Arabidopsis thaliana: one gene and its partner. The protein of the gene in region 2 interacts with the protein of the main gene of each other region in a pairwise test. Each region holds a gene or a part of one and is shown on either strand. Other genes may lie near its edges. The genes, in order: ZML1 and AT4G09060.

Region 1 (16,854 bases), on a different chromosome or scaffold from region 2:
CTGACTCAGCCAAGATGGGACAGTAGCCTCAATATCCTTAAGGATATCTTCCCAAAAACATTCACTAAGGTGAGTAAGATCAGAAAACATTCTTCAGTCCAAGAAAGTTTTGACCATGTTGCTAATCTTGATTTGTCACTTAACTATGGCAGGAGGCAATAATGCCGGCAAGTAAGAGATCAAAGTACCTTGAATCAGTGAGTTCCGAGTACGAAAATGTTATCGACTTCTACATAAGCTCAAGAAGCGATGTCTTTGTTCCAGCCATCTCCGGTCTGTTTTATGCAAACACCGTTGGCAAAAGGATAGCTTTAGGTAAGCCTCAAGTGTTAGTTCCAGCAGAAATCTCAGAGACATCTGGCCTTGCTACAGATTTCATCTCTCCATACATCTCAAAGAAGAACCATTTGGCTTATTCATGCTTTTGCTGACCTTCTCGCATTTCTAAAGTAATCTCCACGCATACTTCCATGGAAGGGCCTTCTCAGTTTTCATCAAGTGTAAGCAATTTAATTATTTTTCTTGTTTTTAATTTGTAAGTTTGTTTCAATATAAGTTGGTTTTTTTGGGCAGTGAGGTTTACAGTTTGAATCTGTTGGCTCATAGCTTTTGCATTCTATAAATTTTGCTCTATAGTAAGAAACACATATATTGTTTGTAAGATTGATTTTAGTGTTGAGGGTTTCTATTGAAGGAAGAACCATGTGAACTATGACAAGATGTGATCATTCTTTTCTCTAAAACCATTGTTAACTCAAATATAGTGATATCACACAGAGAATCCTCCATGTAGATACAACAACACTTTTGTAACCAACCATGACTGAGCCAAACTCTCGTTAGTACAACCACAAATCCAATTCAATTCACAGTTGCACTTTTACATCATACAAAAAGAAGAAATATGAAAAGGGACAAAAGAATTGGATCTCATTGCAGTATACATTTGAAAATACTTTTACCATTTTTAAAAAAGATAGAAAGAAAGGTTAGAGGTTTAGGCCATTGTCACAGGTTATATCTGTTATTGCTTCTGTATGAGGAAGGCTGAGAACCTAGTTGTATGTTTTATGCATTTCTTGAAGCTTTGTATTTACGGAACGGTTTCTTGAAGTAGACGCTCATCGGTGTCTTGGGTACAGGGATCAGTTTCCCAACAATTGCTAGTGGCCAGCTGCAGAGCAAGTAAACAAATTGTTCATTCATACATGTGTCATAAGCACTGAGAACTAAGTTTGGAGAAACTGGACCAACCTGACCAATCCAATGATTATAGAAGCAAGCCATAACTGCCATCCCAGTCTAACGGTGTGAGCAAACTTTCCGAGGAAAGTAACGATGATGATCTGCATTTTTCAACCAGAAGCATTTTACTATCATAGTCTCAAGAAAGAGGAAAAAGGTTAAAGTGGCTTTGTGTTATTGTCTTACCTGAAGTATAAAAGTGACTCCAACAATTGCTACGAAGAGAGGGTTCTTATTTACTCCCCGGAATACATTCATTTCATCAGGTTTTCTTGCGTTGAACTCGTTGAATATCTGGAAGACTTGCAAGATTAAAAACAACTCCATATCTTTTAAGACTATATAGATGAAAGAAGAGATGATTTGCTTACTTGACACATGACAAAGGCATTGAATATCATAGTGTTCTTCACTTCCACAGCATGTGCATGGTTTTCATGGTTCAAGCCAAGAATGCTTAAGCCTGCAAAGTTGAGAACTAGGAGAACAGCCACTTGATAGAATGACTGCAACATCCCCAGATTTCATTTTCAGACACATGCAAGCTAGTAAAATTATTTGGTAAAATAATTAATCAAGTTGGTTTTTGAGCAAGTCACCTGAACAAGCAAGTTCCTCCACATGATGTTTGTTATAAGAGGTTCCCTGCAAATCAAGAAACAAACCATCACGAACCATACGACTGAAACCACAATATAACTATTCTGTTTCACTAAAAGTATGAGGAAAACATCATGTGCAACATGTTTATACCTTCTTCCAACAGGGGTTCTATGCATAAGATGATCGGTTGGTGGCTCTGTAGCTAGTGCAAGTGCTCCAAGAGTATCCATGATAAGGTTGACCCAAAGCAGCTGCATCAAAGAACACCATTATATCTTTTATCCTTGTCTTAAAAGTTCAACCATTCAAATAAGCATCAAGGTACTAACCTGTACAGCCTTTAGAGGGACGTCACCAGAAGACATTGCTGCTACAACATTGATTATAAGTGCGGCAACATTCACAGTAAGCTGGAATTGTATGAATTTCTGAATGTTAGCATACACAGAACGGCCCCAACGAACAACCTGGAAGAGTAAACAGAGTTTATTGATTAGAAAAGCATAAAGATGAAGGATAATGTAGAAGATCACATGTTTCTATATTTGATGTAGTAGACTAACCTTTACTACTGAAGCAAAATTGTCATCCAAAATAATGATGTCAGAACTCTCTTTTGCAACTTCAGTTCCTGATATACCCATAGAGAGACCTATATCTGCCTATAGTCCAAAGCAACAAAAGAAAAATCAGATTTGGAGATGACACACAACACATAATACATAACCTGTAGAATTGTTAGAGAACCTCATGGAGGGCAGGAGCATCATTAGTACCATCACCAGTGACTGCAACAACATCTCCATTTTTCCGTAGTGCTTGAACAAGTAAGAGCTTGTCGTTAGGAGATGACCTACCCATCACCTGCATTTCACAACCTAAGTTAATGTTTGAAAAAGCAAGCAGCCGCCAAGTCGTATATATGATCCTTGGCTGTTTAATTTTCATACCGTTATTTTCTTGGCTACTTGTTCTCTCTCTTTCTCAGATAGCTCACGGAACACTTTTCCTTCGATGATAGTAGGCTCAACAGCTTCTGTATCTGAAGAAAGTATACCACACTCCAAAGCAATTGCTTTTGCTGTTTGAAGATTGTCACCAGTCACCATTCGTACCTATATCATGAACAAGATGATCATTTCATGTAATCTCTATAGAAAACTAGAAAGCATAACTGTAAACTTCGAAGAGGCTAGGAGTCTACCTTAACACCAGCACTGGTACAGATTCTCACTGCTTCTCTGACACCGGGACGACAAGGATCCTAGATTGCGTAACAAGTTACCAAAAGAAGTTACCAAAAGAACAATAGGTTTAAATTTTGGAAGAGAGCAAAATCGTCACATAGTGAACACATAAAACAAACCAAAACTTTTCAGAATACCTACCTTTATGCCAACGATAGCAAGCAAAATGAGTTCATCTTCAGGTAAAGCCCATTTATCCAAGTCCTCTTGTTCCTTGGGAACTTGGTTCAGCTCTTGTGTTCTGCATGCAATAGCAACACATCGCAAGCTATTTTTCGCCATGCTATCGATAGCAACTCTGAAAAATTCCTGTAAAACAATTTGCAGACACAAATGGTTTTGAAATTTGAGATGAAAATGCATAGTATAGTCACAAAATTGGTCTTCCTAGGCTAACAGAGAATGTCTAAGTGAAAATTTAACACCATTTTTCTGATTTCAAACTCTTTTTGTCACTTCACCTTTTGGCTCTCAATGGACTGCAGAGTACCATTTGAGTCCATGTATTGTGTACAGCAAGCCAAAACTATCTCTGCTGCTCCCTTCCAGTGAATGAAAACTTCAGAATCACCCTGCAGTGAATTAACATACACATAATCAGCTTCACGAGAAGATGTTTATGTGTTTAGTTACTGAAAATTCAGCAGAACATAGCGGTTAACTGAAGCAGCCGCTAACTGTAATGACTCCAAAGTAAAAAAGGTTATGTATTTTGAAATTGGAGAAAGGATAAAGAAATTACTCGAAGCACAGCAACACCACCACGCTTTTTCTCTGAATTGAAAGGGAAGGCATGGATGATAGCAGACTCCGACCTGATGGTATCAAACTTCATCCCCAACTGCAACAACAACTTCTTTAAATATATTGCTCATACAGAGGAAGAATATGTCAAAGATGGACCAGGGTAAACAAACATTTGATACCTTATAAGCCCAAGACAGAATAGCCTTCTCTGTGGGAGATCCAGAAATCTCCACCTCTCCACCATCCTATAGTAAAACAAACATGACAACTAAACATCAATCATTTGATAACTACATGATAACATGATGAGCTTAGAGTAACATTGTTCCTCTTTGAAAATCCATAGGAAGGTTCAACAATAGCAGAGTAACAAAAACTACCTTGGGATGAAAAATGTTTCCTGTTGTGTTTTGTGCAACACCCTCACTTATTAAGGCAACAAGTTTAGGGTGGAGACCGGAAGGGTTGTCTGCTACATCCATCTTTGATCCTCCAGCATAAGTTTCAACCACAGTCATCTGTATTTTTGTGAGGGGTAAAGTTAGCTATCTAGAAGGGTATGATGGTTTTCATGTCAAGAAGCTCACATTTTACTGGATACTAACCTGATTCAAAGTTAAAGTTCCAGTTTTGTCACTGCAGATTGTTGTTGCTGATCCCATGGTTTCACAAGCTGAAAGCCTTCTAACCTGTTTGGCATTTGAGAAAAATGGTCAGACAATAACCAAGAAGAAAGAACTAAAGCGAGAACACTCCTTCTGATTCTTACCAAAGCTTTGTCTGCCATCATCTTTCGCATTGAGTAAGCCAAACTGCAAATATGGTGTCAAGAAAAAGTATATCAACACCTGAAACGTAGATAATTAGTTATCTTCTGAGTGGATTATATCAAGTACGACTTACGTGAGGGTAACTGCTAGGGGAAGTCCCTCAGGCACTGCTACAACCACAATTGTCACCTAAACAAATGCCAGAGTTAACTGATATGTCTATCGAATAACATAATCAAAAATATGGAACTAATACTTACGGCGATTGTAAATATCTTTACACAATCATCTACAATGTCACTGATACTAGTCGTCCCTTTGATAAACTGGGTCGCTCCATTAGTATCTTGAGTAGTTCCGGTAAAATATCTGAAAAAACTCAATGGTTATAGCCCTCAACATGGCATGAATTTGTAAGCCAAGAGATTTATTGACCAAGGTAAATGAAATTACCTCACAAGAAGAGCCACCAGGACAACAAGAGCCACTGAGAGCCCCACTATCCCTATGAAGGTTGCAAGACCATTTAACCTCACCTGTTACAAGATTACCAAAAGGAAATGTTAGCCTTCTTCAACACATTGTGGAGACCTTAAGTGATCAAGATGATATACCTGCAATGGAGTTTCTTCACCAGTATCTTCTGAGATACTTGCCATCAACAATCCCCACTCAGTGTTGATTCCAACACCAGTAACCTATTGAAACACTCACAAAGAATAACTACTAGGAAGTATGAACAACTATGTGAAAACAGAACTAAGAACAGGACAAAAGTTTCAAAGATTTACCAGCATGTTACCGACTCCGTCAGCTACTTTACAGCCAGACATTAGAAAAGGGGATTTTTGATCCTTGTGAACCTGCAAACAAAGGTCTGTGTTAGCAAATAGAAAGGGAAGATGACCATAAAAATTGCACAAGCAGAACCATAATGAACTCACAATCTTGCTTTCACCGGTCATGCTAGATTCATCAATAGCAAGAGAATGACCACTAATTAGCACTCCATCCGCAGGGACCTATATGAATACAACAATAAATAAGGCCATATAGTCATTTAACTCTGAAGCCATTAGATGGAATATAAAGACAAAGTATACCTACCTGGTCACCTATCCTAAGAGGTATAACATCTCCGACAACAACGTCATAGATTGATATCTTCACTGTTCTCCCTCCTCTCATGACCTGTAAGAGTTTTCGTTTATTTAATCTTCAGCTCAAAAACATGTAATTGCAAAACAAACTAAGATGTTAAAGCAAGCACCTCTAGTTGTATATTTCTTTTTTCATCGTTGAGGTTTTGAAACTGGAGAGATTGGCGATAGTCACTAACAGCTGAAACAATCAAAAGATAAAGTGTAAAGAAAGATTTATCTTAAATGGATTAAGAGCAAGATTGAGAATGTTTTCAAGAATTTATCACAGAAAGAAACATGTATATACCTGTAACAACAATGACAAGCAAAACCGCAAAGGCAATGCTTCCACCATCAAGCCAACCTTCTTTCAAACCCTGATCATGAAGTAATAAGACAGAAAATTAGTACATTCCTGATTTCGAAAAACTAAGAACTTATCGAAAGGAAAGCATGTATACCTCTGTCTTTATTCCCAATGCCAATGATGTTACAGCCGCTATGATCAAGATGATGAGAGTTAAATCTTGCCAAGCTTCCCAGAGGAACATCTTTTGGACAAACAGAAAGTTGAAAAAAAACATATGAGTATCCACAAACCGATAAAAACACGGTCGAAGAAGTTGTAAAAGACTCTTTGCTTACAAAAAAGTTTTTCCCCTTCTTTTTTGGGTAAGTGTTAGATCCAAAAGCATTCTTCCTATCTATCACCTCTTTCTCATCCTCATTGATTCCTTGTTCCATATTTGACTTCAACTTCTCTGCAACACCTTTGACCTGAAAGATATATTAATGTCAGCATCAAGAAACCTTCCTATTTATGGAATGTGTGAGTCTTGAATCATACCCCTCCATATTGCTGCAAATTGGACATGTTCTGGTTCCTTGTCATAGACACAAGCTTTTCAAGATCAATGTCAAAGTTACCAGTAGAAGCTGCTGGTGTTGATGATCCAAACGCTAATTGATACCAAAAGAAACTAAAGATTATTCAACAAGAAACCAGAAAACAAAACAGAGATTTGCTTGACTTATAAGAGATCATACCAATTTGTTGTTCACCAGCCAGTTTAAAAAGCAATGCTGCCTGATTCATAAAAGTGATTTATCGATGTGAGATTCAATTAAACAAACAACATTGTTGTTGAAATGATAGGAAGAATTATATAAAGAAAATACATACCCTAATGACTTGAGCATGAGCTCTGATCATCCTCCTTCGATTATCATAATGTTCTTCTTTATTAAGATCCAAAGTGTATCGAAACCGACGCGATGCGTTCAACACAAGAGCGGCTTGTCTCCAACGACGAAGAGATTCAACAGAAGCGTTCTTGGTGTTATCAATATCAAAAGGATCATCAGGATCATGTTGAAGCTCTTCATGATCAGAATGTTCTTCAGTTTTAGCAGAACCAGCTTCCATGTCGTCATGACGTCCTGACATTGACGTCAGAAGCAATCCGTTGCTCGACGAAGTGCTCATTCTTCCTTCCTTCGTCTCACCCAGCTTTCTTCTTTCTTTTAAAATTCTATTGAAGAATTCGAAACAAAAAACGCAGAGAAAGAAAAAATAGGAACGACCGGTTTTATGATTTGGTCGTTATGGAGAAAAAAAATGATGGTGTGACGGAAGAGAGAAGGCCTAACTCGAGAGAAGGCAACAAAAACCGAAACACTTTCTCTCTTTTTTTTCTCTTACCTCTCTGTCAATCACAGAGAAAAAAAAGAGAAACTAATTTTTGAGTTTCTAACCAACATTAATATTTTGATTTACCCTAAAAAAAAACTATGAAAGAAAATGGAGAGAGGGTTCAAATTGAATGAGATCATTACTATTTTTGGTTTGGTTTGGCAAAATTTGTGGGAAGTTAGTTTTTTTTTGTTTCTTTTTATGGGAAAGAGAAGAAGAAAGAGTTTTTTCCGGGTAAGAAGAAGAAGAAGAACATGGTGGCATCTCTTAACATGGCATATATCTAACCATCTCATTTTTTAAAACAAAAATCTTTCCTTCTTCTCAGATCTAACTATGTTTTCGTTTTGTAATAAGTGGTATACCATTCATCTTTATAACTTATAAAATTATTCTAGTATTCTGATATACTATTGTTCACCTCGTATCATGTGAAGAATGGTACACTAATTATCTTCATACCTTAATCAGTTCTTTCTAATCAAGTTTCCAATAAAGATAATGGAAAAGAATAAAACAATGTGACAGAGAGAATAGTGAAGTTGCTGAGAAATTTCGTTTTAACCTGATGAACGTGTGTACGACATTAAGGTCACTTGGGTTGCACGACATAACCAATCATTGTTTCTATTTTTATACATAGATTGCATTATCTCTACTAAGTCTTAAATATTTAACTAATTGTAATCAAATACAAGAACAAAAAAAAGTTTTCTGCCTGAAAATATAATCAAACACACAGATGAGAGACTGAGCAAAGTTTTTTTTTTCTTTTCTGATGAGTGAGCTTCTAAATAAGTGAAGAGTGTCTTATAATTTGTAGAAGACTAAAATGTGCCCACATAGACTGAGATTAACCCAGAGAAACCCTAAACACAACTCAGATTCGATTCCATCATCAAATGAAATGATAACAACTGTTTTTGTTTGAGATCCTTTCTTGCTTCCAATGGTTTCTCAGTTCTCACTGTGTGTTGCTAATGTCACCAGTTACTTCCATCATTTGATCAGCCTCAAGATTTGCGTCCTGCAACAAAAGTGATTGAGAAAAAAAAAATGAATGTATGTTCTCTTAATAAGCAAATCAAAACTCCAGCTCTATGAAATACTGCGCTCACGGCTCACCTCATTCTTATTCAGAGATAGATGCTGAGGTGTTTGCGGAGGAGGGACTTTGGATAGGTCTCTAAGAGTCCCCTGATATTATAAAGTCAAAGGGAATGTTATTGTTAGGTTCATACTCGGATATATAGGCCTGATCAATGAGTCAAAAAAGTGATACGAGACGAGGTGATCAATGTGAACTAAGAAACTCTTAGCTTACCTTGTTTGCCCACATCAGTCCACACGCATTACAAAGTGTTCTTGGCCCATCAGGTCCACGTCGCATCATTGGAGTTGACTTCTCACTTGTTCCACAGTGTCGACATCTTAACATGTTCACAACCATTTGACGAAGAATAAGAACAGAGACAAGCTTTCCAAGTATACCAAGCTATAAATAAGTTCATATCAACTACAATGACTTAACATGCAACAACATAGTCGGTTCAGTTATTTTTATCCTCTCACAAGTATAAGTTATCAGTTGCAGGTATCGAATGAGTGATGCCATCATGATAAGTATAACTATAAATTTCAGAGTTGACGTATATAGACAAAGTTTATGGAAGTGAAAAGAGCGTCATTAAATGGTTACCAAATAAATTGTTTCCATGTATTAGACTTAATTGAGGTTTTATAACGAGTTCACTAAAGTTAATATAACTGTTGTAAGAAATTTAAAGCATTTTCAACTTACAAAACCTCTGGCTTCTGAGTCTCAGTCCCTTCTACGGCCCAGCTCTGGTTTGACCCCCAATCCGATCCAGTGGATCCAGAATCATCATTGCTTGATTTAGCCGACGTGAACTGACCTTTCTTACGCTGCATTCTGCATGAACAAACAAAACCTTAATTGCAAAACAGACGTATCTCAAAAGCTCGACATACACAAAAGCTAGTACTTGACATAAACGTACCTCAAGGCTACTTCTTTCCTGACTGTATAGCGAATAGTCTTATCAAAGTTCCTCCCTTTTCGTTTCTCCCTAAACCTGAGCAAAGAAGCTAACCGCTGCGGAACGCTAAGCCGTTGAGGAGTACCAGATAGACCCTGGTTCATTTATTAGTCAGCAACAAACTGGGGAATAAACTGATTTCCCATATGGTATTAAATCTTTTATTACCAGTACCCTATTGTTCTGATGAGGTGATCCTAGGGTTGTTGGGAGTGTATGTGGTACTTCCCTTCCACCAAGTAACAAAAGCACAGCTTGAACCTGCATAATATTGAGCAGCACTTCAATAAGCGAAAAACAAAACCAACCAGGTGGATACGTTGACCATATGTATCCAAAACTAAAACATCAAAGAACCAAAATTAACTTAAAGTTACCTTCTCAGGCGAGACACGGTCAAAAACATAAACTTGTCCCTGGAAGGACAATGTCAATTGATCTCCATTTTCAATTCCACGGTCTACAACTTCACCACGATTATCAGCTGAGTTTCCAGGGTGAGAAGGAATGTCTGTCTCCACTCCTTCATCCATCCCACCATCAGCATGGTCATCCATCATACTGTTTTCATTGTCGATATGGTGCAAACCGTGATCTTCATACTGCACATGCATTGGATTTTGCGCTACACCAATGTGCATTCGACCATTTCTTCCATGAAGATCATCCATGGTCTTTTTTCTGCAATTTGTTACCAATTACATCCAAAGGAAGATAACATTAATTAAGACTGGAACGTTCTTAATAACGAAAAAGCGAGATTGTCAGAGACGGTATAGGTTGAAGAAACTCAATAATGGTGGATATATTCTCACATAAATTGAGTTTGCAAATACAAAGAAACTATCTCCACCTAAGGGAAAGGAACTTCATTAATAGTTATCAGCACTGATATAGTACAAAGGAGCTTCTTTTATAACAAGAGTAGATGACAATAATCTAATCTCGAGTAAACAACAACTAACAACAGTCAACTACCTTAAAACGTAACAATATCTACCCAAATCCAGTAAAAAAAGTTTCATCAATCAGATTCGAATTGGAAAAAAAGTCTCCTTCTCTCATGCTCATAAGTCCTAAGCTAAGTCCCAACCTTTAAGCTAAGAACAAATAGACAGAACAATTCCAAATCCCACATATAAATGCTTCCAACTAAAAACCCTCCAAATTCGACAAGTTCATCTACAAACTAGAACCCACTACCTATATCATACATACAAAGACTTGTCACTTGGACAGGGCAATCAAAACAATAAACCAAAATTGACATCAAATGGGTACCTTTTGTGCAGAGGAATCCAAGCGAGAAGAATGAAGAGCCTTTGCAGAGCTAATTCACGCGAAACAATGAAAGATAAAGAGGATTTGATTATACAAAGAGAGAAAAAGGTTTAGGGAAAAATCCCAAAAGGGTAAACGGAGACGAGAGCGAAAAAAGGAAGCTCCTTTGATTTTTTTTTTCTTTTTTGGTCTAATGATTGTAGTGAAAGATTTTTCATTTTTCTTCAGCAAACGTCGTCGTTGTGATCTTGGGCCTTTTTTAGCCAAACGGCGTCGTCTTTGTGAAAGGCTTGACACTCCCTATTCTTTGGACCTCATCTTTAATTGGCCTCTATTTGAGTTCATATGTTTTTCTTTAGTGGTTTCAGGTTTGATCAAGATACACATTTACTCTTAATGATGCCAAAGATATAAAGACATTGGAGATGGTTTAAGGTCGCCAAGGTTTTTCACATAATTCTTTTAATCTCTTTTGTCAAGATATCTTTCTTTTACCAAATGACAATGTGGAATTACATTAGTTAATTCAATTTGTACCCATCTTTAAAAACTTCTTGTTGTTTTGGTTAGAAATCATATATAATTATAATATATCTCTACAAATAAACCATCTTAACACAAAATATCTTAAGTTAGATGGAACCACAACCAATTCTTCGGTGGAAAACAATTGACTCAACTATATCTAATATGTCAGATTTTAAAACTAAATTGCGTTCCTCTTTCATTTCTTAATTCCACAATATACAATTTTATTTTGATTTTATTTGCTTTTCCCTTATTCTTGCACAAAATTTACATATGTTTTGCTCTAATATGTTCTAAGCATTTCTAATTTTTTTCCTTTTCAAAATTTTGGTACTTAATAACTAATTGACCAATTATGAAAATGCCATGTGCCTCGAATTATCCACTAGCAAAAGGGTAGCAACAAGTTATAACTTAGAAATGCGTACATATATCTTACTTATAAAATATCAAGAGTTAGATTAGATAATGCATAGACTAGTGTGACAATTACAAGGCCATGCACTGGCTGACTTGGTGCCTCCTCCAAAGAACTAAATACCATGTTGAATTTGAACCAAACTTGGAACATATATGAGGAGACGTGGGGTAGGAGATAATTCATGTGTAGGTTTTGCACCATGATGATCCAATTCTATGAATTTATCATTTTCCACAATGTGTATGATGTCCTTGGAGTGCCGGTTGGGTCTATGACAAGAAACTACAACAATCTTCTCCTTAACTTGGTATGCGAAGAAACTCACCCCTTCCCTAAAATGACAACGATAGCGTAGACCAACTCCGCCCCGCAGTATTGGGAACTTGCTCCATGACATTGCTCTGGTGTTCTCACTAGTCTTCGTTGCTATCCATAAGTTAACGTTTGTTCCGGTTACGTATGTGTAATTAGTAGATAACATACAAAGTCGTTTCCCTTGTCTAGTCACTGATAAAGCCAAATGACTATCACCCTCTGGGAGAGACTCACTTCCAAATCTCTCTGTTGAGAAATCAAAACTTAGTAAGAATTGTTCACTAATATCAAACCAGTAAGTGATTCCATTTACAGACACGCCACTGGTGATATTTGGATTGAACAAGCCGGTGATCACACCAATACTCCTCCACGAATTAGAGTTAAAGTCATAGATTTCGTACTCGTAACGTTCTTGGCTATTGTTGATAACAAGATCCTCCCCCACGATGTTGTACACGTAACGTTCTTCGCTAGGATTGATAAGACGACCCTGCCTCAAGATTTTGTACTTGTTGCAAGAGGATCTACCGAGAGCATAGCAGTCATCTTTCTTGTAGCAAAATCTTGGTTGAATCCACCTTGTTTCACCTGAAAGCGGATTCCAAACCACCAGTCTATAGTCCTTGGTGGTGCATAGCAATAAGCCATCGCAGTGAAAGACGTGGCCTATATCGACTTCTGTTGAATAATTATTAGAAAGATGTTCTTTTAGGCTAAAATGACATGTTATGTTAACATATGGAGCAACGCTATTGTGAATTCCACGGAGATTGGATCTCACTGAATAAACCTTATGATCAATCAACACGAGAGCCATAGAGTGCCTTGGAGCATTAGAAGAGTGCTTCTTAGAAAGTTTCCCATCTTTGATCAAAGTGTTCCATCGTTTGGATGTTGATCGTAATCGTGCTAGAAATACAGCCGGAACTCTAGAGAGTATCTCCACTACCAAATCCTCCGGAAGGTCGTTGAACGTCATCATCTCTCACACGACTGTGATTAAACCAATTTTCAAAGAATCAAGATGGAGAGACGATAGAATCAAGATTTTTAATCTTCTTCTTTTTTTTTCTTTGATTTACTCTATAAATATGGGAAGATCATTTATATATATAGGAAGGAGGAGATCACGTAATTGTCTTTTATTTTATCCTTTACACTAATAAATATGGAGATTTTTTCTTTTTGTCCACACAGATTTTTAACTTCTTTTTTTCCTAAATTTAATTCTTACTATCTTTCTTTTTTCTCAACATTTATTTATCATTATTAATTTTTTCTATTTCTGTGGTTATAATTTTGTAACATTAAAAGCATATTCAATTAAAATTAAATGTAAATAATTTTATATAAATATGGGAAGATCATTTTTTTTCTTTTTACTTACTCAATAAATATGGGAAGATCATATATATACTTAATATATTTCTATTGTATAACTCAAAATGCTTCTAAGTAATAATTGACTTGTGGGGTTATATCTTTGAACATTATATATCTCTGCCCTACTCCTTTAATTTTTCATGAAGTCATCATACTTACATATTTAATAGACTAATAAATTAAAATGTGTATTTCACTAAAAGTTTGATAAATCAATTCTCATTTTGCATTTGCTAATGTACCTGAATCTATCTACCTATAGTCCCAAGGCACTTGTAAAATAAAATTGGCCTTATGAAATTTTACAAACTAGTATATCCTTGAAAACCAAGATTTTTGATCAAAATGTAAATGAGGCCAGGAACCAAAACCTATCCAGAAAATATCATCTTCCGAGTCAATGAAACCTATGTGACATGCAACTCTATAACCATATCAAATTACACAAAAGACGCAAAGCCAATGTGATAATTAGGATCATTCATAGACCCACCAAGTGTTTCACTGGTCATGGTGTTATAAAAGAAATATGTATGCTTCCTTCACAAAAGAAAACCAACATTACACAACTATTTGTTGTGACTTTCAACTGTTTCAAGACACTAGCTCTGGTCTGGTACTTACCTTTTTGCCTTCTCCAAGACACCTTGTCACAATTCCATGGAGATCGAGACTCACTAATTAAACCCTATAATCAATCAACTTGATAACCAGAGGAGACTGCCGTTGTGTCTAAGCAGAGTCCATCTTTGATAAGAGCGTTCCACCCTTTGGGTGTTGATCGCAATTGTTTCAGAGATACCACCGGAACCCTAGTGAGTATCTCCACAACCAAATCCTCCGGTCCGGAAGATGTACAATGTTTCCCTTCTTCTGTTCTTCATCATCTCTAAAAGCATGTTTTCAGATAACTTGGGATGGAAGTTCTTGGACCTAAAACTTATTCTCATTCATGTGACGTCACAACGCATGCTTTTACTGTGGGCTTCGTCCTAGATTAAATTTGGGCCTCTTCTAAAACAATAAATTACTTTTTGTTTTTCACTTTTTCCTTTTAAGTAAACCAAAATCCAAAACCAATAACCAACCAAACCCAAACCAACTGATTTAAACCGGATCATTCCCTCTCTTTACTCTGATCCGATCTCTTCCTCTCTTTTTAATTCATGGTTTCAATTTCTTCTTCTTCTCCTTTTTCAAAAATTTGTCACCTCCGAGATCAGATCTGATCGTCGGAATTGAGATGGCGAGGAATAAACTTGTAAGTGGTAGTCATGGGATATGGAAATATTTCAACCCAGCGTTTTATCTCCGAAGACCAAGACGTCTTGCTTTGCTCATCATCCTCTTCGTCTCTGTTTCAATGGTTGTTTGGGATCGTCAATCTCTTTCCCGAGACTACCAGGTACGTTATTGAATTGATGAGAGGCGCTAATCGAATCTGTTAAAGTAGGCAGCTAAAGGTCTAGACTTTATGAAATTGTTTATACTGGGCTGTAGAGGAAATCAAAATTCAATCTTTGGATAAAGGAGAGTCTCTGTGTTATGTGAAGATAGGATTTTTCTTTCACATATGTGTGTTTATAATGTATGCTGACTTTTTGCAGTTTGAAGTTTCCAAGTTAAATGAAGAAGTTTTGCGGTTGCAGCAGATGGTAAGTTATTTATTTCTTTTCCCTATGAGGCTTTGATTATACCCAAAGTTTCCTCCTTTTTTTGCATTTGCTTAATTACACAGTGGCTGATATTGATGTGGCATTACGCGTCTCGTGGTCTTGCAAGAATTTGATTTACTATGAGTTTTTAAATCTTGAGAAAGTTATGAGATTTTTTATAATGATCTTAAATTTTGTTGTGTTTTCTGCTAGTTGGAAGAGATAAAGAGCGTCACTGAGGATGTGTCTGTCAATAGTTTGAAGGATGTTCAGGAAGATCCAGTTGATGCTCAGCGAATGCAGAGAGTTAAAGAGGCAATGGTTCATGCTTGGAGTTCATATGAAAAGTATGCCTGGGGACAAGATGAGCTTCAGGTACAGTTTTATCTTTGTATGGTTAGCTACAATGCTGACAGCTTATGTTAACGTTCACCATTGTTCAGAGAATAATTGGGTTGTTTAACTAGTTAAAATGAGAACACTTTCTACTTGCGATAAATATATTTCTGTGAAGCTATTTGTGTAACTTTTTTTTTTGCATTATCAGCCCCAGACAAAGGATGGTGTTGACAGCTTTGGTGGCCTGGGTGCAACTATGATAGATGCATTAGACACACTATATATAATGGGTCTAGATGAGCAGTTTCAGAAAGCCAGAGAGTGAGTAGATTTCTTCCATCCTAGCCTTTTTTAGGAAGATTCTTTCTGGCTTGACTTGTTCTAAACAGGCTTGTCTCATCTTATTGAGAAAAATATAAGTAGTGAAGAAAATGAAATGGAAAAGGCTATTGAATCGTCTTTGTAATGTATCTGTTGTGCAATGTTCACTTTTAAACTGTTTCAAGATTATATAGAAAACATTAAATATTTCTGGCTAAAACTGCAACCTCCTATAAATAATATTGTTTTCTTCTCCATTAACTGAAGTTCGATTCCCAACTTTTCCTGTTCATCTTTCCCAGCCTTCATTTACTTATTGTCTTTCATTTTCAGGTGGGTAGCAAGCTCATTAGATTTCGACAAGGATTATGCTGCCAGTATGTTTGAGACAACCATAAGGTTGCATTTAACAGGTTTACCATGTTTTTTTTCTACATGTACTAAGAAGAGTCATCTTGTTTAGGTTATCTGTTGTGTGTAGTTAACAAAATATGTGGTATGGAAGTGTGGCATCTGTGCTTATATATTTTCTCTTTGTTGGCTTTCAGAGTGGTAGGAGGGCTTCTCAGTGCGTATGATCTTTCTGGGGATAAAATTTTCCTTGAAAAGGCTATGGATATTGCAGACAGATTATTGCCTGCATGGGACACTCAATCGGGTATACCATATAATATTATCAACTTGAAGCATGGAAATGCTCACAATCCTACATGGGCGGGGGTAAGTCCTATCTGTCATATTCCTTGTCGATCTTTTCAAAGCTTTAGGCATTGGATATACATTTTCTCTTCTTTTCTCGCCCAGATTTTCATATGCGTGCAAAACTTTATCGAGATAGTCGCCACTAGGGTCCTGAACATGTTTCTAAAGGAGCTCCTAAGAGGCCACTGAAAAATTGAGATTTAAGTTCCAGTCGTTTTCTTAGATGTTTCAGGGCTCGCCAGGAACGAACTGTTCTGTTTTTCAAGTTATGTGACAATTAGTATTCTGTTTGTGTCTACACTGTTTTAGAGTTTAGTTGTAAAGATCATGATGAAAGTAAAGATTCTTTATCAACTAGGTATTGTTTCACTAGCAAGCTCATGTTTAATGTGGAATGGG
Region 2 (17,069 bases):
ATGACTACAAGTTTCCTAACATACCTGAGGTAAAAATTGCATTTGTTTCCTTCAGCTAGTTGTTGCACGATTCCGACTTTGAATATGGAATTTGTATTCCTGCAGCATTTATGGTTTCTCCCTTATTTTGTTTCAGTTTTGTAATCAGCTGCTACTGTTTTGCAGAAGGATCTTGTTATTTATGAAATGAATGTTCGTGCTTTTACTGCTGATGAATCCAGTGGGATGGACCCAGCTATAGGAGGCAGTTACCTCGGTTTCATTGAGAAGGTGATTGTATTCTACTTAAAACATATGTGTTGAGATGCTGAAATTACTGCACATTCATGCTTACTGCACAAGGGTTGTTAGCAGGAGTCATTTACCAAAAACGTTAAAAGTGTGAAAAAGCTTATTATGATAGATATTGAGGATACATCTGCCTGTATATGTACAAAGCTTCTTTTATAGCTCACTCTCTTTTTTTTTTCTTAAGATCCCACACCTTCAAGATCTGGGTATAAATGCAGTGGAATTATTGCCAGTGTTTGAGTTTGATGAACTGGAGCTTCAGAGGCGTTCTAACCCTAGGGATCACATGGTAATCACGAATCAGCAATTTACATTTCTGTGTGCTTATAATATTTCTTGCAGGTCTTATCGCAATGGTAGCTATAAAATTCTTCCCTTTTCAATTTAACTTGAGTCTCCATGAATGGAAGTTTCAGTGCTTCCCATACCTGAAAGAGATTTTTCTTTTTACTAGGTTAACACATGGGGTTACTCGACAGTTAACTTTTTTGCTCCGATGAGCCGATATGCTAGTGGTGAGGGAGACCCTATTAAAGCTTCGAAAGAGTTTAAAGAAATGGTCAAAGCCTTGCATTCTGCTGGTATAGAGGTAGCAATTCCCTTGTATTGCTCCGTTTTCTTGGGGTCGATGCAGTTTGTTCCTTGTTGAACTTTTTATTGTAATTGATTATTCTTCAGAAGTATTCTTACAAGTTTTCTCTGCAGGTCATTTTGGACGTAGTTTATAATCACACCAACGAAGCAGATGACAAATACCCTTATACCACTTCATTTCGTGGCATAGACAACAAGGTGAGTCATAAGAGGATTAACATTCATGTCGGTTTATTTATTTTCTTATCTTAAAACTCTAAACAGTGAGATCTATTATGCAGGTTTATTACATGCTTGATCCAAACAACCAACTGCTTAACTTTTCTGGCTGTGGTAATTTAAAGTTTATATTGCAGACTTTACTTTTCAAAAATTCCGTACTTGAAATGAAAGTTTGGTTTACAGTTTGCTGTAGTATGTGTGCTCAACGTTTCTTTTGCTTTCTGTCTCCAGGGAATACACTGAACTGTAACCATCCAGTTGTTATGGAACTCATACTTGATAGCTTAAGGCACTGGTATGGACAAAATCTATGTTAGCAGCCACTGTAACTAATTGGACCAAATATCTTGCAGTTTATCCTGGACATGACACTGATATGAAAGAATTGCTTGTTGATTTTTCTATCTTCTTGACAGTCATTGTGGTTACTTCACATAGTTAATCATTCTGGTTCTGCTTTCTTCTCTTTACTTAACCGCAGGGTCACTGAATATCACGTGGATGGTTTCCGGTTTGATCTTGCTAGTGTGCTTTGCCGAGCAACAGATGGATCTCCACTCAGTGCTCCCCCACTGATAAGGGTAGGTTTTAATGCATTGTGCTTGCATATTCAGAAAATAAAATAGAAAATCTTGTGCCATAATGTTCATTTTGTAATTTCTTATTGAATCAGGCAATTGCCAAGGATTCTGTTCTGTCAAGATGTAAAATAATTGCAGAGCCTTGGGATTGTGGAGGATTATATCTAGTCGGGAAGTTTCCAAATTGGGATAGGTAACCGTTTTAGCTTCATAACTAGCTTAAGTTGATGACTCCCAATAGTACTATACATTGTAGTTCCTTCCAAAGTTCTGTGGTTATTAACTTTGTGTAACTGGTATGGCTACTGGTGGATTTTTCCCAAGTCAGGTGGGCTGAGTGGAATGGGATGTACCGGGATGATGTTAGAAGATTTATCAAGGTATTCAACATTGGAGTCTTTTTCACCTGATCTTTGGAAAGGCATGACTTATTGCAGATGCACTCTAATCTTCCACATTGTTAGGGTGACAGTGGCATGAAAGGAAGCTTTGCTACTCGGGTTTCTGGATCTTCCGATCTTTACCAGGTTATTATATTTTGTATTCATTCTGAACTTTATTCAGTGAACACTTAGATGCATTAACTGCAGTAGAATCCAAGTAGGTTTAATGATATCATCGCACTTTCCCTCTTCTCTTATATAGGTTAACCAGAGGAAGCCTTACCATGGTGTAAATTTTGTGATCGCACATGATGGATTCACATTGCGAGATCTTGTATCGTACAACTTTAAGGTACTTTTTGATTTCCAATGTATTGATTTTAAAACATGAATGAGTCAGCGCTTTATGTATCTCTTCTGTATGATAGCACAATGAGGCCAATGGAGAAGGAGGAAATGATGGATGTAATGACAATCATAGCTGGAACTGTGGTTTTGAAGGTACAATTAAAAGAGTCTCGCTTCACAATATTCAAGCATTGATCGTTTCTCTGTATAATATTCTTATTACAGCATTCAAGTTTAATAATCTGTTTATTGACAGGGGAAACTGGTGATGCTCACATCAAATCTTTACGTACTCGGCAAATGAAGAACTTTCATTTAGCTTTGATGATTTCTCAGGTGCGTATTTGCCAACATACACTCGTTTAAATACTGTCTAAAATTCTAAATGCATATGAAACCGATGGTGATCAATGATCAGGGAACACCAATGATGCTAATGGGAGACGAATATGGACATACACGGTATGGTAACAACAATAGCTACGGACATGATACCTCCCTTAACAATTTCCAGTGGAAAGAGGCAAGTCTTACGCCTCGCGTTTTGTCTTCCCTGTTTACTACGGATTCCTCCATGAACTGAAATCATTTTTTCTTATTAAATCCAGCTCGACGCAAAGAAGCAGAACCATTTCAGGTTTTTCTCGGAGGTGATCAAGTTCCGACATTCACACCATGTACTCAAGCATGAAAATTTCCTCACCCAAGTAACTAACTTCCTCTTGGTTTCATCTATTCCTTGGATTTTTGAGTGCTACTCTAATTTTCAATGATTGTCTAAAGGGTGAGATTACATGGCATGAAGATAATTGGGACAACAGTGAGAGCAAGTTCCTAGCTTTCACGTAAGACACAAAAGTCCCAAAGTTTCTTACCTAACTGTGTTATAGTACTCTACAGAGTTATCAGATTTCAGATTAATAAGTGACTCTTCTTGCAGTCTCCATGACGGTATAGGTGGCCGTGACATCTATGTGGCATTCAACGCCCACGACTACTTTGTCAAGGCTCTGATTCCACAGCCACCACCGGGAAAACAATGGTTCCGTGTGGTCAGTCTTTCTTTCTTTTGTCTTCTTTGGTTCTCTAATTCTATGACTGATTCAATGTCATGTTTCCGCAGGCTGACACAAACCTCGAGTCGCCGGATGATTTTGTGAGGGAAGGTGTGGCCGGTGTGGCTGATACCTACAATGTGGCCCCATTCTCTTCAATCCTTCTCCAGTCCAAGTAAGATAAGCACTCACACGATAACGCACGGTAGAGGAAAAATAAGGTTTATGAGTTATGAGTAAAAAAGATCCATGACTCCATGAGTCTCTTGTAAAAGTTGATTACATGTAAAATAATAAAATGTACGACATTTCCAATCACAAATAAAGATATATTTAGAGCAATGGTACATTTTTTTCTAATCATGGAAATACGAAATATATGTAGTGATATTATTAACTTAATTTTAGTTAAATGTATTATCTATATAATGTAAAAGTGGATAATCTGGCGCGAAGAGTTTTTACCCATCCACATCCTATCAACTATGTCAACAATGTCCTTCAACATTGGCTTATTTGAGTCAATTTAGTATTTTAGTATAAATGTCTGACAAAAATAAAAAAAATCATGTAAAATTTGATAATCTAAATAAATATCATAAATCTTAATGATTTTGGGTTTTACAACCCTTACTTCATAATCGAGTTTAAATAGTCCATAGTATTTGATCTGCAAGATTTAGTACATTTGACATTATCGAAAAACACATTTCAACAGAATTTTGAATTTATTCAAGCTTCAAACCATATCCTCCACAAAATGTGATAAAATTTGTCAAAATTTTTTATATAGGATTTGTTTTTATAACAAATTGTGAATAATAATAAAAGAAGTCACCCCATTTCTGTCTTTCAACTTAAGGTGACTCACCACCTACTTACCACATTGATATTGTCATCTTCGAAGAATCCAAACTATTTTTTCTTCTAATCCAAACCTTTTCTTATTGTTAGTAAACAATTCAAGATCGTTCTAAACTCAAGAGAATCCGAGGTTCCAATTATTGAAACGTTACGTTAAAACGTAAAATAATACTCCAAAAAAATCCATTTTTAAAACGAATAATGAAAAGAGATGCTTCGATCGTAGAGTCAAAAAGTTAAATAAATATAAGAATTTACAAGACGAATGGAAAACACAACCGCGTGTTAGTCACTAATCATAATGATAAGTGAAAGTTTAGGTCACATTAATTAATTTTAAAATTTGATTAATCTTTGAAACCTTTTAATTCACGTGGTTAGGGCAGGCTTTGGCAACAACGCGTAGTTGGTGTTGGGTCGGTGGTCGACGACCTAGCCAAATCCATGGCTCATATTTTTATCTCCATTTGTTTCCATAGTTGTTTTAATGATACGTGTACGTATCACTTATCAGATGAAAATAATTAATTACCTCGACTTTCCTAATCATATCTACGTTTCCACAATAACAGTCTTCAAACAAATCCATTAGAGTATGCAATTTAGGAGTGTCAAAATAAGTCAACATTCATGGATTACTCGAACTCGTCAATAATGTTAATTGGTTTAAGTAAAAATATTTTACCCATATATATAAAGGAGTTTTAATAGATTAAAACTAATAGGATTATAAGTTTAATGGGCAAAACTTATTAGAGTCATGGGTTATCCATAGGTTTTACTGTTTCAAAATTATATTTCAGTATTGATTCTCGTGTTCTTAACAAACAGCGGAGTCGACTTTTTCCTAAGCATGTTCAAGCTTTACTTTGTACTAGATCTCCCAAACCCATCCATTAAACACTCGAATCTATATGAATTTAGGTCGGGTTGGGTCAGATTGGTTTACCCATTTTGACATTTTTAATATGCATGTAAGAAAAGGTTTGGAGCAAGTTGGGTGGTTACGGCTATCAAGTAGTTTACTGAAATTCCAAATTATTTACTTTATCACTTACTTCAGTAGATTTTTTCGTTTAACAACTTACCAATAGCAGAATAATTGACATAGTATTGATAATTGTAGGTGTAAGATATAGACAAAAATATGTTGGCAGGTTTATCAACAACAAAAATTCAATTTCACATTGTAATTTTTTTTTTAATGCAAAACTTTTTGCCAACAAAAATTATGCCCAAAAGAAGGAAAAAAATTATACATAGTGTACATTTCTTGTCGGGAAAAATGTCATTTAATCTCCCAACTTTTAAAAAATGGTCATTTTATATATCAACTTCGTATGTGGCCGTTTAAAACATGAACTAAACGTTGACTAATTTTTAAAACATGATCTTTCGTTGACCAGGCCAAAATAGACATGCCGTTATCAGTCATTAACGGAATTTCTAACGTCCGTTATCATCCGTTAACTTTATTAGTCAAGTTTCAAATTGTGGTCATTTTAAACATCAACTTTTTATGTGGCCATTTAAAACATGAACTAAACGTTGACTACCATTTAAGACATGAAAAATTTGTTGACCAAGCCAAAATAGACATGTCTTTATCAGTAGAACCTAGAAACCGTTAATGACTGTTAATCTGTCCAAAACAACGTCGTTTGAGAATAATCGAAAGAACATAAAGATTTTTCCCATATAAAATCTCCATATCAAAAAGTTTTAAGCAGAACCCATAGTTTGATATAGAGATAATCACAGTGCCAGTAATTGGAAGCAAATAAAAGTGTTTTCGTTTATATATTTGTTTTAAATTTTAAAAGGAATCATGGAAGCAAATTGAAGACTCATTATAAGATTGTTCGTCTTGTTTGAGCGGTTGTAGAAATAGATTTGGGGAACTGGAGTTTCATTTAGAAAACAATCCTGATTTTCTTTTGGTTATTCTCAAAACAAAGTCGTTTTAGGGATACTAATAGAGTCGTTAACAAGTGATAATGAATGTTATAAGTTCTTTTAATGAATGATGACAACATGTTTATTTTGGCTTGGTCATCGAATTTCTCATGTTTTAAATGGTAGTCAACGCTTAGTTCATGTTTAAAATGGCCACATATAAAGTCGATGTTTAAAATGACCACAATTTAAAACTTGACTAATAAAGTCGTTAACGGATGATAACGAACGTTAAAAGTTCCGTTAATGACTGATAGCGGCATGTCTATTTTGGCCTGGTCAACGAATAATCATGTTTTAAAATTTAATCAACGTTTAGTTCATGTTTTAAACGGCCGCATACGAAGTTGATGTATAAAATGGCCATTTTTAAAAAGTTGAGGGATTAATTGACATTTTTTCCATTTCTTGGCTCCTTTTCTCTAACGTACATTTATCAGTTCATCATCCAAAAATTCAAAATTTTCGAACACATGTTTGGATATGAAACAAAATTCGATTTGTCTTTATGTTGCTTTCATATAGAAAAGTGCAAAACTTTGTTAGAGCTCATGTAACTTCTTAATTTTAAAAAACAAAACAAATCAGATCCAAAGTGTAATAAAGAGAAACTCTAGGGACTTCTTTATAAATAAAACAAAAAACATTTACACGTCTTCGTGTAATTTCGAAGAAACATCGATTCTCTTCTCTTATATAAACCCTCTTCGTCTCCTCCTCCTCTCTGCTCGAAACAAGATCCTTCACTTCTCTCAAACTACGAAAACTATGGCTTCAAAATCCGTCGTCGTTTTGCTCTTCCTCGCTCTCATAGCTTCATCAGCCATAGCTCAAGCTCCAGGACCAGCTCCAACAAGATCTCCTCTTCCATCTCCTGCTCAACCTCCAAGAACCGCCGCACCAACTCCTTCAATCACACCAACTCCAACTCCAACACCATCCGCTACTCCCACGGCGGCTCCAGTTTCTCCTCCGGCTGGTTCACCACTTCCCTCCTCCGCTTCACCACCCGCTCCTCCAACTTCTCTCACTCCTGATGGTGCACCTGTCGCTGGTCCGACTGGATCCACTCCCGTCGATAACAACAACGCCGCCACTCTCGCTGCTGGATCTTTAGCCGGATTTGTATTCGTCGCTTCTTTGTTACTGTAATTTGGTTATATTTTAGAATCATCTATTGAGATAGTGTTTTTCTATTTAAGGATTTTTTTGTTCGTGTTATTTTTAATCTTTGGTTTTATGTTGTATTAAGAATTGAGTTAGCGTTTGGACGATAGAATTAAATCATTAATCATATGTGTTTTTTATTATAGTCTTTAGTAAACACTTTCTGGTATATCGTTAGTTTAATCGGTAAAGATTCTATACGAAGTTTAAAGATCGTCGGTTTGTGACGTTTACTACAAAACTAATATTATATGTTTCGGATTTGGGAGGATTACATGTTTTAGTTCAAAAAATTTTGGTATTAAAAAGAAGAAAGAAGAGAAATTCTTATCACTAATGTTTTATTATGGTATTTCAAAGTCCGTATGGATTTGAATTAATTGATTTAGTGAAGCCTTGTGGAATTCGAAATGGGTGGGGTTAAGTGGTTAGTGAAATAGAAGGTGATTAGTGATGACTGATGAGGTCAGCAAACGTGTGCGTGTGTAAAGACACGTGTCGACGTATATAAGAACGGTGAATTTGTCGTTTTATTGGTAGTGGCGAAAAAACAGCTGTTTGGTTTTCTGTCTGATTCTTCATCTCTTTTTTTTACACTTTTATTTGAGCTAAACGATATAAATGAGATTGGATAACGAAGATTGAAAAGTATGTAATATTAACGAGACTAATGGCGTTTAGAATTGAAAAATCGAATTAAAAAAGTCTTTGGTTTGGTGAGAAAGGTAAGAGTAGGTTTTGTCACGTGGAGACAGCTGTAAGAATACATATAAAGCATTTTTCAGGATTCTTTCATTGGCTCAGCCATGTGGGCTTTCCTACGTATTATATTTATAGTAACCATTTTAGGTTAAAGGTGGCGTGACAAAATATTATACTCAATACTATAAGTTACTTAAAATTATGAAAAAGTTTAATTAAATCAATGCGTTTGCTATAAAAGTTAGACGAAGAAGATATACTATCGTTTTTTTGTTAACATAAATCGAAAAGAACTCTCAAGTCTTTTTAGGTTTTTGCACAAAAGGAGGATAAAGAGAAAAAAAGGTAAAAAGAAAGTTGAAGAAATTGTTCCTTTTTAAAGGGAAAGGCTGGAGAGCATTTGCATTCATTAGCTGTGAATTCTGATTCATTTTCATTCCCTCCTTAATATTCCAACTCAACGAAAATGAAAAGTAGCCACAATTTGTCCTTTTTCATATACCAATGTCATTTATTCTTTAGCCATTAATAACCTTTAAAACGTACCACATAAAATTTTATATATAAAGAAAAAGAATGGAAGACAAAGTACAAGAAGCCTTTTTTGAATTAGTACTTTAGTACCAAATGCTCGAGGTGATATCTAACTGAACCATAGTGTTGTTGCCGCGCGAAAAGGACAAAGTCTCAAGCAAGAAATCTAACGGAATGCATGATCTTTATTGGCGACACTTCTGGTATTTTTGTTTCACACTGTTCAGACCTGATTTCTATCTTTAACAATCAAGACGATTGACCGACATTCGCAGTGGAATTAGCTTCCTATCGATCTTTAGTTTGTTTTTTCTCTTTTTTCCATATTAGATTTTTTTCACGTATTTCTAATACTCGAGCAGATTGTTTAGCTAAAAACGCTCAGGCTCGAAATAGTCTTTTTCCCCATATAAGCACATCGGTTCCTAAATGGCTCTCTCTAGCGGATAGTTTCTTCCCGATAACTTAATATAAAAGGTGTGTGGAGAAAAAGAAAAAGAAAGGAGGCAGTTTCAGGTTTTAGTGTTAATCTATCCTAAGAAGCGGTCTAAGGACTTGTAGGTGTTACAATGAAGCCGGAGGATTGTTCCCTCTCCACAGCTTATACAATGTCTTAAATCAAAATTCAAACTAATCCCAAAACCTTTTGTGTTTTGGCTTTTATAAATAGAAACCTAGCTATTAAAGTAATTTTAATTTGCGTTTTACAAATTACTAACATAACTTTCTTAAGAGTACGGGTTCATATATGAAGTTACACACTAAGCATATAACAAACGCAAACAAGTAATCGAAAGTAGATGACAAACAAAGAAGCATTGTGTTTAACTGAACAAAGCAAGTTTCGTAGGAGCCACATGAGTTTGTTTCTTGAGATTTGATCTGGTCTGATACTGACGTTTGGTAATACCTGTCTCTTACTAGTTTTCAGTTCTAACAAAATCGGTCTTGTACTTCTTACCTCTCCACCATTTACTCAAGGTAGGTACTACTTGTATGTACCCACTCCTCTTGTTGGTCAAAAACTAAGAAGAATAAAGACCTAAAAGCTCGAAGCTTCTTCGTCAATTCCAATATCTCCAACAATGATCCTGCAACGAAGACTAAGTATATATACGGATTCGATTAATTCAGAGTTTAAAGTTGATGATACAACAGAGCCAGGATTAAGCTTTTACTACCTTCTAAGTTTTATGCAGCCGGAGTTTCGTGCTCTTGGGTCATTGTCTCAGACTGAGATGGTTCCTCCTCTGCTTCCTCCTCTGGTGGCTGCAACCCTTCTTTTGCTTGCAACTTCACAAACTGTTTGCTTTTAGCTAATCGGATTGGCCTTCCCAAAAAATCCTGCGTATGTTCATTTCACACAGTCAATTCCACCAACTTAATCAGCTCATATTCTAGAGCTGGTATTAGAAACATGTCATAAATCTTTCTGTTCTACAATTCTGGGATTATGGTCCATATACTCTTAAAGTGTCTAGTATCTACCCACATAATGGCTCAGAGAAACCCATTTATATTTTTGTCTCATTGATGCATTAAGAGTCTAAAGACTAGAAAAATCGGTTTACGGGTCCATCTATGGTCCCTAAGCTCAAATGGTATCAGCAACATACCCAAATAAACCAAAACATAAACACTCTCTTGTATTTTTTATTCCATTCAATAACTATATCAGACGGTAATAATGAGCTTCAACTTTGCTCAAAATTAACATAACTGATAAGCCTAGAATGCTTTAAATTATGATTAGATCATTATCATTTAGAATAGCTTGGATTTACCTTTCCTTGGAACTCAATAAGCGCTGCCTCGGCCTGTTTCTTGGTTTTGAAAGAGACAAACCCGTAACCACTCGACCTCCTTGGATTTTCATGGAATATAACTTCAGTGGAGACAACATTACCAGTGTCTGCATCAAAGAACTCCTTAAGATGCTTGGCCCTTGCTTCAAATGCCAAGTTTGCAACAAACAAATTGAATGTAGGCACTGGTGAAGGCGTCTCACGCGGCGCATATGTCTTCTTCTTTTTGGTCTTTGCATAGTCTACCTTCAAACGACGACCCTCATATTCCTAAACAACAATACACAATTAAATGGCAGATGAAAATCAAAGAAAGACCAGGTACAAAAAAAACACAAATCAATCAAATTGGGATGCTGCAACATGAAAAGGTCTATTAACACAATGTACAGCAGCTGCTAATCTAAAAGACAGATAAAAATGAGACAAGCACAGCAAAATCTCAACAATTATATGCCAATTTAGACATAAAAGAAGCGATGAATGCAATATTCTTACATAGGATTCAAGAGATATGAAAGCTGTAGAAGCTTCTTCAGGGGAAGCCATTTCAATGAAAACCAAACCTAATAGAACTACAACTTCTACTAACGTATGATACGATTGGTGTACTACCACTACAACATCTTCTAACATAAAGGCAAATAGAATGAGACAAACACAACCAAATGAGAGCATCGACCGAAAAACAACAAAGTCAATCAGACTAAGTAAGAGAAAATTTTGCTCCATCAAGTTTTAGGCCAGAAAAATCTATTGTTTACACGGGATACTGCAACCTGAAAGAGTCTAATAACATAATGTACACTTCCACTACTCATAAAGTAATGTAAATGAGAGAAATATCTCAATGATTCTGTGCTAACTTAGAGATGGAGGAAGCGAATTGCAATGTTCTTACATACAATAATCAATCAAATTGAGATAACTGCAACATAAAAGAGCCCAATAAGCACAATGTATAACTTCTACTAATCGTAAAGCCAGATAATATGAAACATAACGCAACCAAATCTCAATGATAGTATTCCAATATAGACATGTAGGAAGCGTTGTACTTACACACGATTCAAGAGATTTAAGAGCTGTTGCAGCTTCTTCAGGAGAAGCCATTTCAATGAACACCAAACCTCTATTTCTTTCCTTCTTATGCATAGACATCTACAAATCAAAAATCAAACACAATTCGTTAAACCAAAACACAAAAGATTCAATTCATCGATTTCAAAAGAAGGAAACGAGAAAAACCAAAAACCTCAATGTCGATAACACTCCCGTACTTCTCGAACAACGATCTAATATCTTCAGGTGTAGATGTCCATGGAACATTCTGAGCAATCAATCTGGTTTTAGAAATCTCTTCTTCTACTACCTCAGGAGCTGAAGAAGAAGAAGAAGAAGATTCGAGGACTGGCTCTTGTGTTGTGGTGGAGAAGTACGAAGTGAGGTTTCTGGATTTTGCTGGAATTGAGTCTGGAAACGTCGCGTGACGATGGAGACGACATAGTGAAGGAGTAGATAAAGAGAGAGAGTGATTGGTGAAGGCAACATTGGGATTAGGGTTCTTCTGGTTTGATTTGTGACCTAGAATTTGGAGGGAAATGCCAGGAAGACGAAGAAGAGCCATGACTGAGAGAGTTTTGGATAAGAAGAAGAAATCGAAAAGCAACGCAATTTCACATTTATTGTGTTGGAATAGACTAACGACGTCGTTCTTAGTTTTAAAACGACGTGTTTCATGATTCTCACTGTTTGTTGTAGAAGCAATGACGTCGTTTAGAAAATGTACTTGAAAACGACAACGTTTGTATAAATTTCACTGTTCTTGTAGACGCAACGACGTCGTTGTAGGTTACCGAAAACGGTTGCGTTTTTGTAAGAAATGTTAAACACCAGTGTTTAGTAAGCTATGTCAGTTTTACACTGCTGTTGTATATAATAAGCTAGTTATTTACCAGTTTGAAAACATGATTTTCTGGTCAAATTTGTTCATAGCAATACTGATACATGTTGTTAGTAGCTTCAGAGAAGCAACAATATAATCCGGTTTCACATATGAATGATACAGATAGTTGTTTGATTTTGTTTATCATCAATTGTTGTTCATCTTAGAATCTGGTGAGTTATTCCATACAGGTGATAGAGGCTTCCTGCTAATTTCTGGACTGCTAAACTCAAGCCTCTTCTCGACCGGGCTACTCATCGTCTTCGGACTCTTTCTCTTGTTTGACTGCAAACAGAACAACACTCCTAAGTTAGAATCAAAGAGAGAGTCCACATAGCTGCTTTTTCCTTCGCAGTGTTTACTTCTTTCTTTTTGTGGTACTTTTACCTTTGCAGATGCGCTGTTTCGGTTCTTGTCTGCGGAGCAAAGAGGGCTTTGTTGTTGCCTTAGCAACTTACGATTTTCTTTATCCAGCTTTCGGTTTAGCGTGCTCACAAGTTCCACCTGTAAAAAGTTTGTGAGTCAAGTGGAATCATTTAAGAACAATAGAGTGTTATCGTTTATGATTATTACCTCTTGCTCAGCTTTAGCGAGATTCATGATGATGCATTCTTTTTCCTTTTCGAATTTCTTTGCCTTTGAAACTAAAGAAAGAACCTTTTGCGTTGAAGGCTTTAAGTGATCCCACTTGCTCAGCAAGGCTTGGCACGATTGGTCGTGGATGTTTGCCTCCAAGAAGAGACGCCCCATTATAGTTTCATCTTTGCTTATGAGTGATCCCAAAACTGAATCAAGCAAATCTTCTTCTAACGGTGTAGTACAGTTTTCAACCTTTAGAGAGAAATGAAAATACAGACTTCTGTCAGAACACAAAGATACTATGTTTCCAGCTGAAATGATGAAAAGTAGCAACTAATAGATACATCTTCTGACTAATGTTGACACTAACAGATCTTTCTAATCTTCATTTGTTTGATAAAATATGCTACATCTCAAGGATACAGAAAGATAAATCATGGATGGAACAAGCAATCTCTCAAGCATCATAGACAATCAAACACTTATCAACAGCCTTTATCCACCTCAAGCTATCAAAAACGCCTAACAATACTGTATATATGAATAATATGAAAAACCCATTTGATATATCAGAAGAATCCAAAGTTTTATTACCCTCAGAAAGCAAAACGATATGGACTGACAATTATAAAAACCAGAAACATAATGTGGACTACCATTAGAGTCTCTCTATTAAGTGCATCTACTGGATAATATCAACAATTGTAAGACTTTCTGCAAAGGAACACAACATGGATACTTATGAAATGATAATACAGAGTTCTGTCAGACCACAAAGAAACTATATTGAAATGATTATAAGTAGCAGCTAATAGATACATTTTCTTACTAATGTTGACTCTAACAGATCTTTCTAATTTCTATTTGTTTGATAAATATGCACCTCGTATTAGTACCATTAAACATTGGATGGAACAAGCAATCTCTGAAGCACATAGACAACCAAAAACTTATCAACTACCTTTATCCACCTCAGGCTATTGAAAACAACTAACAATAGAGGATATATGACAAACCCATTTGATATCCACCTCAAGTTATCACCTTCAGCGAGAAAAGCGATATGGAAGGACATTTTATATTTCATAGTACTAAGAGAAACTTAATGTGGACTAGCATAGTCTCTCTCTCAAGTGCATCATATCTACCATTCTATGACTTTTCTGCAAAGAGACTCAATGAGAAGTCAAACTTCATGAGAACTTAGATAAATCAAGTTGTCAACTTAACAAAGAAAACCAAATGATGGTACCCCATGTGCTAATTAAAGAGTAGAGAGAAGACAATAGCACTTGAGTAACCATTTCATCAAGAACAAGCTAACCAAACTATAAACCAGCAAGTGCAAAAAGCAAACTAATTTACTCGAGGGCAATGCAATTCTAAACCCAACTTAACCCAATTAAAGAAAATTTAGGGTTAATATGAAGAAACTCTTACTTCACCATCTCCGATTTGACGCTTAAATCTCTGCATTTCCTCAGACATTCTTCCAATTTCATCCTCCAATTCACGAACCCTAGCTTCTGCTTCTCTAGCTCTCTCATCAGATTCATTCCCAAACTCCATCAACGCATCACGATCTTGATGATAAAGCAAACACTCTTTCTCCAATTTCTTACACTGACTCAACAAATTCCCACACTCACTAGCCAATTTCTGATTCTCTTCAACAAACTTCTTCAACGCTTGCGCATTCATACTCGCTTCAGACTTATAAAAAAAAAAAAAAAAAAAAAGATTCAGATTCAAATCAATCAAATCCCAGAAAACGAAAGATACCCAGAAAGAAATTACTAACCCTAACACGATCGATTACATGATCTTTCTCCTTTAATCGCGAAATCAGACCCTGATACTGTTCGCGAAGACGGCGTTGAGATTCTTCAGCCGTATAAAGCTTCTTCTGAAGAGATTCCATGGAGATCGGAAGACCTAAAGAATGATCAATTGTATCTTTGATATATTCTTCGACTTCTTGCGAGAGATTTGTTCTCGATTTTGTTTCTGCTTCATCTGAATCAATTCTCTCGCTCCGCATGGTTTACTCTTGAAACAAGATTTGGATTTCAAGAAGAGAATTTAGGGTTTCAATAGGAAGAAGAAGAAAGGGGAATTAGTAAAAGAGACGGAAGAGAAGAATTTCAAAAATGAAATCAGAAGTTTGTAGCCGTTACAAAAGTTATTGCATCGATCGATTCGTGCCTACGTGGCATGTTTTAAGTGGCGGAAATATTTGGCTCCTAATGCAATTTTTTGGTTATGGTTTTTGGGATCCGGTTTGGTTTATTTTGTCGGTTTTACTTGTGGAAAACTTTTTTTTTTCTCTGTTCGGTTTGACACAATTCGGTTTTTGTTCGAGTTGGTTTTTTATTTCGGTTTTGTTTTTGTTTAAAAACGTATTTTAAATATCAACAAAAAGTGATTACCTAAAATTACAATTTAATGTCATTATATCAAACAAATAATTATCAACTAAGTAATTATTTTTCCTCTATTTTCAGCTCAATTTTTTTTATTGGTTTATTTTTATTTTTTCATCTTGACTAGTATTAAGCAAAAGCGTATCATTCAATTATATAATTGTATCAATTTCCAATTTATTTCTATATAAATTTTTCATTTTTTGAGTGTACTAGGATAAAAAAAAATTATATCATTGGGTGGAATGAAACCTTAATGTTTCATGACTATGCATAAAAAATGAACGAAAGATGAGAAGAAACATGAATCAAACCTTTATTTTTATTTAGATGATTAGATGAGATATATACATTAGGAATTTTGATTCGTTCAGTTAATTTTGTTCAGTTTCATAAAATTTAAATTTGATTTAAGGTTCAGTTCCAATAATTCTATTTATAAGATTTTAAACTATTAGTATTATTCGAATTTGGATAAGTTCGGTTAGATTCATTCATGTTTTCACCACTCATTTCCTAAGAAAACCTTTTTAAAAACAAGGTCATTTTAAGAAACACATAATTTTACACGAAGTCGTTTTAAATGAGGTAGTTTAAACGAGGTCGTTTTATCTTAGTAAAACAAACAAACTCCTATGCTTTTCTCTATATAATGCAGTGTACGAGTCTTAATTTTTCGTTATACTACGTATTCCCAAGAAGATCATCACCAGAAATCTCTTTCATCGGTAAGTGTTTCTCGCAATCTAATCTTGTATTTTGTTTTTATGGCTCGATGATTATTAAGCCTAAAAGTCTTTACTATGCCTTCAACTCATCTTTTTAAAATGATTTAGATAAGATAAAGATAAAAAGCATCGTTTTATAAACTAAATATACTTAGAAGCAGAATTGAGTTGTTTATCCGAGATGTATGAATTTTATATTTAGATTGTATTCAAGAAGTGATATATTTCATATTTGATTCGTTTAGTTAATCTGTTGTCGATCTACTACTATCACAGAACGTGTGATCCCAAACGGATACTCATAGCAGATCTAATGAATTTCTTTAGTTTTTGTAAAAAAATGTTTCTTATTTTTCAATTAATTTTGGTAAATAATTTAATTATAACATTAATTTCTTAGATTTGTTTCCTTTTTATTTAAAGTCAAAAGTTACTTTATTTTTTTCTTATAAGAATTTATATTTTCTTCCCTTTTATCTTGATAAGGGTGAGTACACTTATGTAATTGTGCACATGCACTAAAATATCTAATTATTCTCTATGTTATAATTATTTATTAAAAAATGAAATTTGTATTATGATTCCAAAGTTGATGCATATGTATTATTTTTGGTCTGTAAATTACTTTTAAAAATAAATTTTCCTTTCCATATAGACCACGTTCTATTTCAAATGAAAGAAATGATTAAAAAAATGAACTCCATTTGAGCATTTAAATGTATTTTCCTTATGAACACTGATTGAAATTCTATCAAAAAGTATTTTTTGATTAAATAATTTTTTGCTTTATTGTAAAGTTTTATCATTTTGTTTTTTGGTAAATTATATATCTGAATACAACTATATTATATAAGATATTATTGTTTGTGTATTATTGTAAATTAATAGAGAT

What was found.
Region 1: the proteins of AT4G09060 (region 2) and ZML1 interact in a two-hybrid assay, tested with the Arabidopsis thaliana proteins (2 studies listed by BioGRID).

The regions. Positions count from the first base shown.
Region 1 is NC_003074.8:7,416,156-7,433,009, reverse strand, and holds ZML1 (ZIM-like 1), read right to left. Parts: upstream 10,975-16,854; 5' UTR 10,789-10,974; intron 10,189-10,788; 5' UTR 10,179-10,188; coding exon 9,885-10,178; intron 9,769-9,884; coding exon 9,676-9,768; intron 9,603-9,675; coding exon 9,469-9,602; intron 9,381-9,468; coding exon 9,249-9,380; coding exon of another isoform or gene 9,245-9,248; exon of another isoform or gene 8,878-9,244; coding exon 8,772-8,877; intron 8,645-8,771; coding exon 8,573-8,644; intron 8,475-8,572; coding exon 8,412-8,474; 3' UTR 8,105-8,411; downstream 1-8,104. Other genes in the region: MSR1 (O-fucosyltransferase family protein), read left to right, coding at 1-69, 153-431; ACA9 (autoinhibited Ca(2+)-ATPase 9), read right to left, coding at 1,069-1,174, 1,255-1,346, 1,432-1,539, 1,617-1,751, 1,845-1,890, 1,999-2,099, 2,178-2,315, 2,412-2,510 and 24 more; AT3G21170 (F-box/associated interaction domain protein), read right to left, coding at 11,850-13,037; MNS2 (alpha-mannosidase 2), read left to right, coding at 14,682-14,843, 15,046-15,093, 15,307-15,468, 15,641-15,753, 16,087-16,152, 16,302-16,473. UniProt on the Arabidopsis thaliana protein: Transcriptional activator that specifically binds 5'-GATA-3' or 5'-GAT-3' motifs within gene promoters.
Region 2 is NC_003075.7:5,785,187-5,802,255, forward strand, and holds AT4G09060 (uncharacterized protein), read right to left. Parts: upstream 15,145-17,069; 5' UTR 15,068-15,144; coding exon 14,828-15,067; intron 14,740-14,827; coding exon 14,467-14,739; intron 13,887-14,466; coding exon 13,809-13,886; intron 13,279-13,808; coding exon 13,021-13,278; intron 12,952-13,020; coding exon 12,835-12,951; intron 12,733-12,834; coding exon 12,595-12,732; 3' UTR 12,473-12,594; downstream 1-12,472. Other genes in the region: ISA3 (isoamylase 3), read left to right, coding at 1-29, 166-270, 476-580, 746-880, 997-1,083, 1,167-1,218, 1,339-1,402, 1,589-1,688 and 11 more; AGP10 (arabinogalactan protein 10), read left to right, coding at 7,063-7,446; AT4G09040 (RNA-binding (RRM/RBD/RNP motifs) family protein), read right to left, coding at 9,889-10,041, 10,482-10,772, 11,565-11,663, 11,758-12,129.